Linked DNA regions of Arabidopsis thaliana. The protein of the gene in region 2 interacts with the protein of the main gene of each other region in a pairwise test. Each region holds a gene or a part of one and is shown on either strand. Other genes may lie near its edges.

Evidence for each region. The genes of interacting proteins can lie anywhere in the genome.
Region 1: the proteins of GN (region 2) and WOL interact in a two-hybrid assay, tested with the Arabidopsis thaliana proteins (one large-scale study listed by BioGRID).

What each region holds. Positions count from the first base shown.
Region 1 is NC_003071.7:362,458-369,962, forward strand, and holds WOL (CHASE domain containing histidine kinase protein), read right to left. Parts: upstream 5,901-7,505; 5' UTR 5,560-5,900; coding exon 5,498-5,559; exon of another isoform or gene 4,980-5,497; coding exon 4,430-4,979; intron 4,250-4,429; coding exon 4,013-4,249; intron 3,920-4,012; coding exon 3,750-3,919; intron 3,575-3,749; coding exon 3,356-3,574; intron 3,275-3,355; coding exon 3,036-3,274; intron 2,943-3,035; coding exon 2,713-2,942; intron 2,635-2,712; coding exon 2,536-2,634; intron 2,453-2,535; coding exon 1,248-2,452; intron 1,107-1,247; coding exon 875-1,106; 3' UTR 526-874; downstream 1-525. UniProt on the Arabidopsis thaliana protein: Cytokinins (CK) receptor related to bacterial two-component regulators. Also binds the synthetic urea-type cytokinin thidiazuron, a potent defoliant and herbicide. Functions as a histidine kinase and transmits the stress signal to a downstream MAPK cascade.
Region 2 is NC_003070.9:4,786,987-4,794,573, reverse strand, and holds the start of GN (sec7 domain-containing protein), read right to left. Parts: upstream 6,025-7,587; 5' UTR 5,920-6,024; intron 5,114-5,919; 5' UTR 4,988-5,113; coding exon 4,250-4,987; intron 3,795-4,249; coding exon 177-3,794; 3' UTR 1-176. UniProt on the Arabidopsis thaliana protein: Activates the ARF proteins by exchanging bound GDP for free GTP. Plays a role in vesicular protein sorting. Acts as the major regulator of endosomal vesicle trafficking but is also involved in the endocytosis process.

The DNA.
Region 1 (7,505 bases), on a different chromosome or scaffold from region 2:
TAGAAAGTCTCTCAGTTGTGATTTGGTCCAATTAATTTATTTGGTAGTTAGAAATGCAGACGGTATGATTATCCTTGGTATTAGTCGGAAGGCATTTCAAATTAGAACCTAACAGTGTGGTGATCCAATTCTACCTAAATCGGGAGAAATTCATTCTGTAGTATTTCGTTGCGTTCCTACTGAAACTGATAAAATAAGTCGATAGAGTATATAAAAAACAAACAAAAAGTCAGATATTTTCTATATACTCTTCTTGGACAAGTTCCTAATTCTTCTCATCCTTTATAGATTACATCGAGAGATCCGATTAAAGGGTTGTTGATTGGCTTTGGTTATCTCACTCGGTTTAGTGAGATCGACGAACCAATAGTAAAACGCAGTCGTTTTTAAGCTTTGCTCTGTTTCTGTTGTTTGAAAGCTCAAGTCGTCGACTGAGCTATAGCTAATGAAGAGTTGTTTGAGCTCTTTCTCTGATCTTCGTTCAACTAGCTAACCGATTTGGTTGCTAAACAAGCTCAAAAGATGAATCAAAATGGTCTCGTCTCAAGTTATAAGAAGATGTTATATATGGAAAAGTTATTATTAGAACATTACAATGTTTAAACGACTAACCAAATCTGATACAGTACAAACGATCCCGTGGGATTAATACTTACGCTAAGATCAACACTGAACCGTCGTCTTAGACGTTGTCGTTTAACAACATACACTAGTCATGGCAAGCTACATTACTTCGGTGAAAGAAAAAAAAACCTTCAAAATCTCTAGATTGTGAACCTACTGTATGTACAGAAACCAAAATGCATATCAATCAGCAGAATCGGTCCACTCTTCCGGCTGCGGAGAGAGAAAAAAAACTCGCCGGAAGATTGGATTACGACGAAGGTGAGATAGGATTAGGTTTGAATGATTTGGCAACGGATTTATAGAGATTCTCTTCTTCAAAAGGTTTGGAGACGTAACCATCCATCCCACTTTTCAGACATTCCTCGTAGGTCGCGTGTATCACATCCGCAGTCATCGCTAGAATCGGTAAATGCCATTCGAGATTTGTCTTCTCTTTAGTTTCCTTCTCCATCATTCTTATCTGACGAGTTGCTTCAAATCTGAGAATCAATGAAGTTTATAAAAGATTTTAACCGAATCCGAACCAAACCAAGTCAGTTATAATTTGGCGGGAAATTTTTCATACCGAACAATTCAAAAACCGAATAATCCAAAAATAGTATTAGTTGTGATTTAGTTACCCGTCCATCTGTGGCATTTGAATATCCATGAAGCAAGCATCGAAAGTGTGTGGAATCTGAAGCAAACCCAAAGCAACTTGACCACTCTCTGCACAAACCACTTCTGCTCCAAATTTCTTGAGAGCTCCTGCAGCTACTCTCCTGTTAACTATATTATCATCAACCACAAGAATCTTCTTCCCTGTAAGCAAGCTCTTGAGAGTTGCGGGTGATGATCCTTCTGGATGTTGTTGTCTTGTTTTTCTCAGCTCGAGAACTTGTTGCAGACACGCCCCAATCATGCTTGCTCTTAACGGTTTCATTATTACCGTATCTGCAAATCCTGCGGATTTAGCTCTGTCGAACTCCGAATTTGTGATGTTTGTTGCGAATAGAGCTAGTTTCGGAGACTTGTGATGAACGTTTCCGTTGGTTCTTGAATTCAATAAACGAATCTCTGAGTCATTATCTTCAGTTGAAATCCATGAATCTTTCTCTACTAAGATCATATCAAGTTGCGGTTTTGTTGGGAGAGGAGAACCGTTTCTTTCAAACGCAGCAGCTGCAACAACAGCGGTTTTGAGACTTGTCACGACATCAACATTGATTCCGAGTCTTTTCATATGGTATCTAGTCACAGCAGCTCTAACAGGCTTAGCATCAACAACTATAGCTTTCATTCCTTTAAAAGTAGAAGGCAAGTGTTCCACATTAGGTTTCTTCATATGGTTAATCGCACTGCATTTATCGCATTTCTCTAAAACAGCCGTGAACCAGAACGTGCTTCCAATATGAGGCCGGCTTATGAAATTTATCTGACCACGCATAAGTTCAACAAGACACTTGCTTATACTCAAACCAATACCAGTACCTCCATAGTTTCTTGAAGTCGAGCTATCTGCTTGCATAAACGGCATAAACACACGGCCTTGCGCAACTAAAGGGATTCCAATACCCGTGTCTTCGATTGAAACCATAAGCCTAACATTGCTAGAAATATCAAACTCCGATAATGACTGCTCCTCAGAGACCAAATGCTTGAATGAATCCCAGCTATTCCGACCATCAGCAGCTTCGTAACCGCTCAATGTGTTGTAACTTGACTGTTTGGAAACAACGATCATTTCTTCAGACACTCCACCATTCAATGCATTTTTCGGTTCAGATTCATCTTTTGATTGTTCCGCAAGATGGACTTTAACAAAGATATGTCCTTTCTCTGTGAACTGTCAAAAAGACAACATCTTGATCAAACAAAAATCATATACACAAGCTGCCAACAAAGGCAGAGATTGAAATAGGGACTAACTTTAACCGAATTTCCAACAAGGTTTATGATTATCTGTCTAAATCTCCCTGAATCTCCTTTGACTATCTCTGGTACTTTGTCTGAAACGAAAACCGCGAGCTGCCAAATTTGAAATCAAGAAATTAGCAGCCACAACTCCAAATAGATGTATCTTTATTCCTTGGATTGAAAACTTACCTCAATGCTTTTGTTCCTTGACTCCTCAGAGAATAGAGAAAGGACATCATCCAATATTGAACGGATATCAAATGGTACTGATTCCAACTCCAGCTTTCCAGCTTCAATCTTGGCGCGATCAAGAACCTCATTTATCAATGCAATCAAAGCTTTACCACATACTTGAGCGGTTTGAGCGTAATCTCTCTGTGTCGAGCTTAGTTCTGTATCTAGGAGCATAGCAAGCATTCCTGCAGAAAATTTTTAAAACAGAATCTTTGAGGCAGTTTGAGAAACCAAAGATGAAAGGCAACAGTACTGGAATTTGTTTGAAGATGTAGTACCGAGAATGCCATTCATTGGTGTCCTGATCTCGTGAGACACGGTAGCAAGAAACTGCGATTTAGCGACATCAGCAGCTTCTGCTCGAACTTTAAGCTCTTGCATTTCATGGAAATCATCTTCGACTTTTACTATGTGCATAGCTGCACCATACAGTATATAACCCACCAAGAAACCAATCGCAAAGAACAATGGCACAGTTGTGAGCACATTCAACGGTATTGGTGCCTTTTGGTGGTACCTGCACTCGAAATTGTTCAAACAAGATATCAGTTTTTAGATATCAGAGAGTATTTTAGCTTTAAGATTTTCTGTGTGGTACCTGCATATCATCTTATGTTTCCTGAAGGGGTCTCCAAAATCGAGCTTGCTCTCATGAGAGAGAGATCTGTCGGCTTCTTCATCTTGATTACCATACATGACAAGTGGATCTGATGCATTGGTGATATCATACACATGCACAACTATTGCTTGGTTACCAGCAAGCTGACCAAGTAAATTCTCGACTAGAGACTCCACATCAAACGCACCACCAAGGTACCTGCATTTCAAATTCAAGCATCAATCTTTACTTTACACACAAACCAATCTTGAAATCTCAAAAAACCTCTTTCCTTTACATGATCACACACATAAACCAATCATGAAATCTCGAAAATCTCTTTTTACATGATCACAAGCAAAAGTTTGCTCCAGTAATCAGATGGGAACTTTACCCTGCAGTGGCTGCAATACGCTCTTCGACAGTCGGATTTTCAGGAAGAGAAGACTTGTAGACAGGGAATGTCAACACAACTCCGAGATGGTGAGTTTCCAACAACCTAAAAGGGCTAGTCAAGACAGCTTTTCCGGTTTCTCTAGCTCGCAAAATATTCTCACGATCCTCCTGCAGAAAAGATAGCCAAAATTCAGAAGAGGTGCAGGTCGGATACTTAACCGAAAAAACAAAACCATAAGTGTCTGATAATGTTTATATTACCTCGCCTGACATCATATCGAGTGACTCAAGGTAAGAGACACTATCTTGAGAGAATATAACAGGAGCATACTCATCCCTAACCGGTGAAGGCTCTCCTCTATCCATTGTCTTTATAACCCAATTGTGCTGCCGCTCAAACATCTCCCTCTCAAAATTCACAACTTTTTCAGCATAAGCCACTCCACTTAGCAACGGTCTCTCAAATGCTGTTCTTGCCGTGTACTCCGCAAATGTCTCCTGCAAAATTAGCCACAAACCAATGAGTAAAGCAAAGGCCTAAATTTCCCTTCATTTACTCAATAACCAAACATAAAAGAGTAAATTTCAAAAACTTCTGGTTCCAAAAAAAGTCAACTTTGCATTTATGAATCAAAAATTTCACCAAAGCTTTGAGCTTTTAATAAAGCACACACTGACCTGATCAATTGCAGAAGGGTTCTTGTGGTAATGAAAAGTGGAGACGAGAATAGCCAAAGCATGAACATGATTAACACTAACACTAAATTGATCCTGCAACATTCTAGCTCTTTGATCACACATGCTGACCAAAACCTCTTCCCTTCTAATCTTATTAGCATCATCCATCCACTGATAAATCCCACTGCTTATAAACCCAACAATGATGATCCACAGAATCAAAGCTTTTGGTAACAATGCTCGATGTTCTTGTATGAAAGTTGACCCTTTTTTATTACCCATTAGATCGTTATTATTATTATTGTTCATCTTCACCGCCACTGAATGCTGAAGCTGTTGCTGCTGCTGCATCTTCGCAAAACCCATCAACCCCGAACGCCAAAAATCGATCTTTCTCGGCTTTTCTGACGAATTCAGAGCACCACCACCACCCAGTTGATAAAAATCGCTGCTTTTCAAGTTTTCTAGTGACTCGGAATCAGAAATTTCAATTCTTCGTGGCTCTTCTTCTTCTTCTTGATGATTGTTGAGTGCCCAGTTCATATCTGAGCTACAACAATAGAGAACAAAAGAAGAAACAATAGTGAAAGAAAACAAAAGTTAGAGCCTTTTTTGCATACATATAACATAAAAGCATTGGTAGTGTAGTTATGATTAAGAATGTTACCATAAACATAGTTTATAGTACAGAAACAAACCCTAGAAACCTGTAGACGAAAAAGGACATGTTTTTGCGAATTCAAGAACAAAAGAGAGAAAGAAACGCATGGTTCTCAAAAGAAGCAACTTTGCTCAGTTTCCAAAGGTTTCTTACAGAGAAGAATTAAAAACTAAGTAATTATTGTCAGAGAAATTAATTAATACTAAAAAACACACTAATCAATCATAAGCTCTTTACAGGCGTGATTGTTTATTATTGGAACAAGAACATAGCTATGTTCACTGTCTCAAATCCAACAATAGAAAAAAAATTAAAGCTTTGACCAAAGAAAGAAAGAACACAGAGAGAAACATAACATTAGGAAGAACGACTAATAAGCAAGCACATGGAGAAATTATTTTAGTTACCTGTAATGAGTTGTGAGAGGATTGAACATTGCATTATTATTATACACAAAATCTCTTCTCATCACTTCAAATGTAGGTATTCCATTTTCTTTCTTCTTTCTTCTTCTTTTGTTTTAGTGAGATTTTTTGCTTTTAAAAGTAAGAAAAAAATTGAATCGAATTTTTTAGATTTTCTTCAGATACGTTTCTCTCTCTCTGTGTCTCTGTCTATATCAGTTTTTTGCCATGAACTTTCTTTTCATTTTTATATCTCTCTAGCTCTTTTTTCTTTTTCTAACTTGAGTCCAACTTTGAAGAAGAAAAGTTTTGGACTTTTTCTTAATGGCTCATGATATGATCCATCCAACAAAAGTTATTATTTTACCCAAAATCTCCTCAAAGTTAACATTATTATACGAAATAGATATATTTTCTCTAACCGAATTGTCGGTATTTACTGTGTATTTAGAGAAATTGCAAAGCGACAATGAAGAATTCACAAACTTCTCTTTATCTATAATTTTTTATAATGCTAATATAAAAGCGTATAATTTGGCGCGGAAGATCCGCACCGAACCGCATCATATCACATTTGTAAATAATATCCCTCAGGATTGGTTTACTTGAGCTTTAATAATTTTGGATGACAAAAAAAAAAATATAATTATTGTGACACTAACTAGGTTTGTCTTACTAATTAAAACATCTTTAAAACTACATTTATTCAATTTCATTACATTTCTTATACATCATTTAACATTTAAAGTAACATTTACCATGTTTAAATTTCTTGAATAAGTGAAGTAATATATAGTCACCAACTTCTCAAAATTTATTATCTATTTTTTCCTTGGTATAAATAAGTTTTCTGAACTTTAGAAATAAAACGTTTTGTTTTGTTTTTTTACTTACACCAAAAGGAAAATAAAACGTTTTTTTGTTGAAATATAAGAAAACAAAAAATATAGGTGAGTGAGAGACTTTGTACGAGAGTCGCTATCGCATATCTTTGGCGATAATGACATCGCGACAAAGCGCAGATCTGGCCCCATAGACCTTTTACCTGAAATACCCACCATTCTAGTCTCTTAACTACGAAAATACCCCGGTTAAATGGGCCTGACTCATAAGCCCATGATTTATCCACGTGTAATTCTTAAGACAATTGCATGAGTTGATTCAGGAGATTTTAGAATTCAAAATTTATGAATAACAATCAAATTATTTATTTACTACTAGTATTATACGGTAAACTATTTTTTATATTATTTAGAGTGTTTCTTTTTTTTGTAATAGCAAATTGTTATGACCTAACCACAAATTTAAAATGCTCATGAATTTCTAAAAACGTTAAAAACAAAAAATCATTAAATTATTACATGTTTGAGGCAATAGTAAATCAATCCCATTAAATTAGTACCATATTAAATGATAACATAGTTATGAGTTTTATAATGAAAAATACAGAAAAAAACATAGAGCTATTATTAAAGATACATGAAAATATTATTATTACCTTATATGTGTAGATGGAAACTGACGTGGGTTGTGTAGCTTTCTCTCGTGCGCTTAGAGACAGTAGCTTCTATAACTACATGATATTTGAGAGAAGTTTTTGAATATTCAAATGGATTTTAGGAACACTTGTATGGTTCCTTTGAAATATGCAGAATTAGAACTTAAAGCAAGATTGATAAACATAGAGAAGATACGTGTTTGGGATACCTTAATTTCATGGCTTGATCAGAAGCTTTCAGTCATAGATGAATGCAGTGTAGTTTCTTTTTCCGCTATTGATTCTTTGATCGCTGCACATGTCACAGAATTTTAGTAATGATTTTTGTTACAGATTTCTATATATGTTTATAACAGAGGCCAGTGAAACTCACATTGTGCTCTTCCGAGAAAGAAAAAACAAACAATGAATCTGGAATAAAGTGAAATTAACCTAAGAAAAATAGAAGACAATAAACTTGGATCGAATACCATTTTTTCTATACAATTTCATATCGATGGATCTGGGAATGAT
Region 2 (7,587 bases):
CCGTGATTAACAAAGTCGTAATTAAGAAACTTGCTTAATTAATACGAGTCTCTGAATTAGAAAGACTTATATATTACAAAAAAAAACGTAGAGAGGTGTTACATAAGAAGCTTTCACTTTCACAGTACTTATATGGATATTCGAAAGAAACTCACCTAATGATCTCACTTGTAAGGTCACGAACCAGTTGTGTTTTCAGGAGAAGATAAGCCATTCGATACGGTTTCATCATCACCAAGTTGTGAGGATTCTTGATCAGGGAATAGCTCCAGTCGCATAGACGGTGCAATGTTATTCACATGAAGCCATGTTAGCTCCCATAAGCTATCTCCACCAAGAGCACTTCTTTGCAATAGCACGCCTTTCGTCTTCATCACCAGCAATATGTTTTTGAGAAGCTCTGGTACTGATTCTTGTAGCTTGTCGCTTTTTTTGCCTCTTACTTTCACTTTCATGTATTTCTCCATTCGAGTTAGAACACCGAGCCATAGCTTGCAGAAGGTTGATAACTGAGATAGCTCTTGGAGTTGCTGAAGAAACACTTTGGAGAGAAGTTTGATTGCGAGAAGCAATGTGCCTTCCATGTTTCGGTAGTCTTTCTGTGACCCAGCAGCTATCTCAAGTAAGTCATCCAAAACCGTGAAGATTACTTTGTCAAAGCATTGAGACCACATGCTATGAGCTAGGTTGATTCCGTCTACTCCGCCTAAACACTTCTGTAATGACTGTAAAGCGTGGTTTCGGACATCCTCCCTCTGGTCTAAACACACTTTTCTTAGTCCTTGAACAAGCCTTAACCACATTTCCCCAATATCTTGTGACATCTTCCCGAAATCTTCTTCTCCCATGTTTTCCTTAGCTGAGAGAGCCCATTTAGCCAAAAATTCTAATGAATCTCCCATTAGATCAAGGGCACGGATAGAGCGTTCGGACTGTCCCACGCGGGATTCAGCAAACTGTCTTGCAGCATCAACACAGAGTACATAATTGGCTGGATACAGGTGAGTTCCTTCAGACATAACAAAGGATACGGCATCAAATCCTGATTCAGAAGCTTCTGGGTGCCGCGCTGTGATGGAGAGTAAGGATGTGATTGTTCTCCAACCCGCCTGAGACCTGATGTGATTAGCATTGGCTTTCACAAGACGGCTGACTTCAATTGCAATTTGCTCACAATAGGCATCTGCAACACGTGCATCCAGTTTCAGCACAAGCTGAAGAGATCTCAAAAGCTCATCAGCTAGGCTTTCTTTATAAGGAAGTAGTCTCTGGCAGATCCGAAGTAGACCAAAAATAGCTTTATCCACTAAGTTGCAGGGCATCACCGTTGACTGAGCAATTGTAGCTATATGTTCATAGACGCCTTGCCATAGGAGAACGATCCTGTCTCTGTTGTTTAGAGTGATTGCAATAAGCAATTCCAGACAGAAAACCGCAGTATCCTCATCCTCTGGAGAACTGGTTCCTTTCTGTGGCCTACCTGCAGCCCAAATGAGAGCACGCGCAAGCTGCAACAAAGATTCAGCTTGTAGAAACTTGCTTTCGGTAAATATGCTGTCAATGTGACATTTCTGAATTGTTTGAAGTGTTCGTTGATGAGCTGCAAGCTGTTGCTCAGTAGGCTGTGATCTTGGCTCTTCTGTATCAAGTGAAAGAAGCTGACTAAATCTTCCCATCAATCCGGAAGATCTCCTCGGAGTTCCCATTGACTGTAGATGAGCTGAAGATAGGGAATTCGCGAGGGGCTTTCCTTGCCCTTGCTCAGATGAATGTTCTGATTCATCAGCTGCATCACTGGCTACACGAGCTGGCAGAAGTCCAAGTTTATGTAGCCGTAAGATACAGTCCAATATGTTCCTCCAACCCGTACGTATATAATCTCCATATTTGTTTGCAATGGTAAAAATTGTGATAGTAGCCATCCTTGCTTTTGCGTCATCACCAAATGCAAGAACGGGTTCATCAACAGATGATGGATTCAACAGAGTTGTGAATTTGCAGAGAGAGACAACCAGATCATCAAGCACATCTTCAAGATGATGACAGGCAGAAATTTTAGCTATAGCCAAGAATCCATCGATGCATGTCTGGTAAACGTCTTCATGTTCTGCATGGTCAAAAACGACTGATATGGCAGCAATGGTTGGACCAGACATGATAGCAAACATATCATGGTCAAGATAAGCCCTTGAATCAGCCAGAATATATGGAGCAGTTTTCTTTGATTTATGCATCAAATCAATCCAACGGCTGGGAGTCATTTCAGGAAAGCCTGCACCTTGTTCTGGAGTAGTCCTGATCTCATTGTTGCAGATGGAGTGAAAGAGTTCAGACAAGAATTCTCGAGGTAGATCATTTCCTCCATTGATATGCCTATTATTGCGAATGAAATCCTCTTCTGTCATCTTTTTCTTTACTTGAACGTTGTGCTGATCAGTGTTAAGCATGATAATAGAGTATGATAACACAAGAGCAGCATCCTTGTTGGCCAGAATCTCAGGAGATTGCATATAGTATCTTTCAGAGAACGCCTCAAGCACTCTCTGTATTTTCTGGGATTCTCCAGGCAACCTGAAGGTTTCCAAGAAGAGTCGGAGTGCAGTATCCAGATTCATGTACTGGAAATCGAAAGTCCCAGCAAACTCATTGAGAACTTGAACACAAAATTCGTCATGATTTCCAAGAAAATCCCCAACAAGGTTCTTATCAAGCCCAGCAGTATATCTAAAAAAGCAAGCAACACTTTGGGGATCGAGTTTGTCAGGCAAAAGATGTGTGCCTTGGAGAAACTCTAACCCCTTCTTTGGATCCCTGTTAAAATGATCTGCTCCAATCATTAACCTTCTCTTGATATATTTTCTCCTGCGGACAAATGAAACCCAGTGATTTGGATCACTATAGTTGTCACACTTAACCATCCAGAAAGGCGTGTACTCATCAAGATGGACAGGACCCAAATCCAAACCAGTCAATCCATTACTTATCCTCTCGGCCATTCCCTGAATAACAGCGATTAGGCCATCCAGAGCAAGAATGTGCATTGCAGACAAAGGACAGTTCACAGGAAATGTGCTCTTCGAGAGAAGATTAGACAGCTCCTCAAACACGTTGCTGCAAGTTATATCACAATCGAGATTGGCATACATTTCAACCATAAAACTCTTCTGCCTACAAAAATTCACAAGAGCCTCCATAGCAACCTCTTGCTGCTGATACGAGGGCCCATATTTTCCTTGAGCAAGCCTTAGAATCACACATGAAAAGAATGCCTCAAGCTGCAACTTGAGTTCAGTTCGTAGATGTTGATACAAATTGAGCACAATGCTGCAAACCATCGAAAGAATCAGGGGGCTCATCGACAATCCGAACTGCATCAAGTTACGAAATAACTCATCTTGAATTAGGCTTAACAATCTTGGGTGATGGCGGATGGACGATCCACCCAATTCAATGGCTGAGTTGATCAAGTTCAACGCAAACAGAGGCACATCTTCGTCAAATGCTATGGTGTTTGATCGGGATCCCATACCAACATGTTCGACCACATTTAACAAAGAGCACAAGAAGTGAAAAATTTCCACCATACTTGGGACTCCGTATGGCTCTGTCATTATATGCAAATCATATGGAGAAGCCGGCTTTCTGCTTCCAGGGCCAACTGGTCCATCATCCATCAAACTTTGAGCACCAGTTGCAAAAGTTGCCATAGAATTTTCAACATCATACTCGGAATTAGCATTTCCATCCTCGACTGGTTTACTCACAATGGCATAATCACTGTCTACTCCAGCTTTCTGCGACCATGCAAAACACCATCACTAATTATTGTACAATAATTAGTGATATATGAATCAAGGGAAGAAGGCTTAAAATCCAGCATTTGTTGGGAAAATTATTCCGTATGAAATTAATTATTCACTATCTACAGAGTTTCTGGTCTAAATTCTCTAGTAGTGATCTTTGACTCGCACTAGGAAAAATATATTTTCCTATCTGAATGAAAACAAGCGTCTACATAATTTTGAAGTTCAAGAGTAAGTTGCAGACCTATATTTAACAAATCGCCAAATCTATGGCTCTTTATCATTTCTATTTAAATAGTTTCTCTGCTTTTTCAATTTTCTAGGTTGCAAGTAAAGGAACCTAGCTACTGTAGTATCATGTTTTTATTTAATCTCAGAACATCCTACAGGACCAAACTGACTTGTAACCAACTAGAAAGGAAATAACAAGGACCCCAATACCATACCTCTTGTTTGATGCTACCAGCTCTGTTGACAAGTGTAGTTTCTGTTCTTTCAACATCTGGGAGATGCGAGAAGATACACCTCACTAATTCATGCATCGTGTGGCGAGCTACTCGTTGCAATAACTCACCTTTCATTCCTGCTTGGTGGACAACACGAAAACAAGTGTTGACGACAGTGCATACATGCTGATTGCTTAGCATAACTGATGCTTTATTTTTCATACATGCTAGAAGAACCTGAAGTATCTTCATTAGCACAACCTCTTCTGATGCAGGATCTGTCACCTCAAATCGACAGCTTGTCACAGAATCAACTACCAAGTGCATAGCGTCTTCAATATTCGCAGTATTTTGATCAATTACATTCAGGTTTAAGATCTTGTAAACTGATGACAAAGCAATGCTGGTTATTGGTGCTCCAGTTTCATCTGACCGTATCACATCAAGAAAGGGCTGAAGATACAACATGGGACTAATTGTATGCCACGGCTGGTTCCATGAGAACACCTGTTTTCTAAGAGCTTTAAGTGACTGAATCAACGAGTGTTCTAGTTGATCATCACCAGACATGTATCGACCTCCCCATCTTACATTTCTTCTCATAACCGCTAAAACAGCAGCAATTTCCGTATCAATCATGCATGCTAAAGTGGTTGTATTACTTGAATCAGTACACTCAAAGTCCTCAGGTTCTTCCTCAATGGCCTTGATTCCAGAATGCAACTTTAGGCGACCCATTTAATCTGCTCAAATCTTCAGCCAGAGCCCAAGGCACTTCAATGCTCACAATCTTCCTGGCAGAATATAAAGTAGATACAGCCGGAGCATATACCCTTCACAGATAGAGGCCAAACTCAATCATTACTGGCAAAAAAAAACAAATTAAATTTAAAAAATCTTATTTTAAAACAGATAATAGATGCATTTCAAGAGCTAATAAGATAGAAAGTGGCGTAACTTTTCACATCATACATTACAGAGATAATCAAAATCTACAACGCTGTCTCTGAATGAAACCACTTTGATTCAAACAAATAAACCACAAGCAAAGAATTCTATAATGGTCAGAAACCATGCTGATAATTTAGTAACTATATAGAGTAACCTCTTCCATAGTAATAACATATGTTGCAGATTTCCCAAATCACATTTAGATTGTGAATAGCTAAGCAACTATTTCCAACAATTTGAGCCCCCAAAAAAACGAATTCCTACAGATCCCTAAATAGCAAAGTTTGTAAACTCGTTGTTACATCAATAAACCTGATAACACTAAACCCATCTACAAAATCAGCAACTTATAGAGTTAAGAGTCACTATATCCGATGGAATAAGTTTAAACTACAATTCAACAGACCAGTGACAGTGTCATGAAACTATTATCAGTTCTCCAGATAAGAAAAATCCCGTCAACACAAGAGAACTCGAGACACGTCTCGCTAAATCTCGAAATTCAGGAAAATCACCAGCAATGCGAATCAAAGAAAACGAGGAGTTTGTTCGACGCTAGAACGAAATCTAGTTCAAATATAGAAGAAGAACAAATAGAGGTAACTTCTGACTTAGATTCTAGTAATCATTAAGAACATCAATGCACAACGAAGGAACGATACAAACAAATAGTATACGAAGAAGAAGTTCGAAGAAACGAGATCTGTAGATTTACTTACTGTTTCTCCAGCGATTCAGAGATCTGTCGTCGGGCTCCGACGACGAGAAACAGAAATGCTTTTGAGGAAAGCACGATCGGAAATTCTCGAGGAGGGAGCAAAAGGCGAAGAAAGCAAAAAAATAAAAATAAAGTATGTACTTGAATTTACGAAAACACCCCTCTCTGCCCAAATACTCATATTTCCAGGTAGATGGGTCTGTTATTTAAGATATTTATACTTGAGACCCTTAATTATCTGAAAATTTACTTCATAACCCGATAAATTATTACTAATGGGCCTATAACAGGCTCATAATATAACGAGAAAAATATAGGCCCAATTAATGGAACCTTAATGAACGGCTTTAGTTTGTTTTATGGTCTTGCAGGCCTCACTGTATAAATTTGTTTTTTTTTTTTGTTTTTTCTCAAATCATATCACTTGTCATTTTCAAAAAATATGGAAAAGAAAATCGTATAAAATTCTATTTGGAAAAGTATATGCTACAAACAACTGTAATAGTACTAGTATAGTTTTGTAGAACAGTTGAATAATTCTTGTTCTTTGATGTTGTTGAGGTGGTTGCCTTTGCCAGTTTGTCCTAATGGATAGTGGGAGACAATACTTTTTAGAGTTTCATAACCGAAATATAAGTAAACCTAAATTAATATGGAGTTGTCCAACATAAACTATATAAGGGATTAGTACACAATAAACATTTTTTATATGTCTCTTCCATTTATAATCATAAGATATTTATGACTCTCTGCTTTGTCTGTTTAGGTATTCTTACACCCGAAGGACATGTCTCTTTCATGTTTAATTAGTGTCAAAAGAAATTGAACTACCATTTTTCAAAAAATATATAATATGTTTATCAATCTATGATTCATCATATGCATAATAGAAATATCTAAATAGCTAGCTCGATTCATATGTTGTGGACGAAATTCGTTAGGGCATTTTTTTTTATATATATCTTAAGTGATTATGTAATACATAACAAATGACATAGTTTTTGAAAATTAACAAAAAAAAGAAGAAAAAGTTAATTAGTTATTCATATGATTTAGATGTAAATAGTCTTCATACTAAGAGAATTATATTTGTTTTCAGTTGACATATATACATCCAGGTATTTGATATCTGAATAGTATAACATTGAATATCAAACATATACTATTCAATATTCATTATCATACACACCTCTAGATTTATAGATATCTAGATTTTGGTAGTATAATACAAAGTTGCCAGTTGGCAATGTTTCCTAAGGTCTACACACGTTTAAGTATTTGTTTGGAACGTCGTATCTGATTCTTAATTTCTATATTAACTTGTATGATATATTTGGTATCCACGTAACTACTAAACTGCACCGGTCTCTGTTTTAAAAAAGTATCAAAATGATATATAAACTAGATTTTAACATGTGATATACTGCGGGACGATTTATTTTTTAAAAGTAATATATATTAAAACTTGCAAATTTTATTTTTATAAAATATTTTTATTTTACAGTTTATAATTGTTATTAAATAACACTATACCACGAATTCATGAGATAATTGTTAAAAAACTGAAGTTTTAATCCCTACTTAAACAGCATATTAATAATATTTTAAAATTTTATAAATATTGATTCAAATACATCCACCATATAACCCAATTCCAAAATAAAACCCG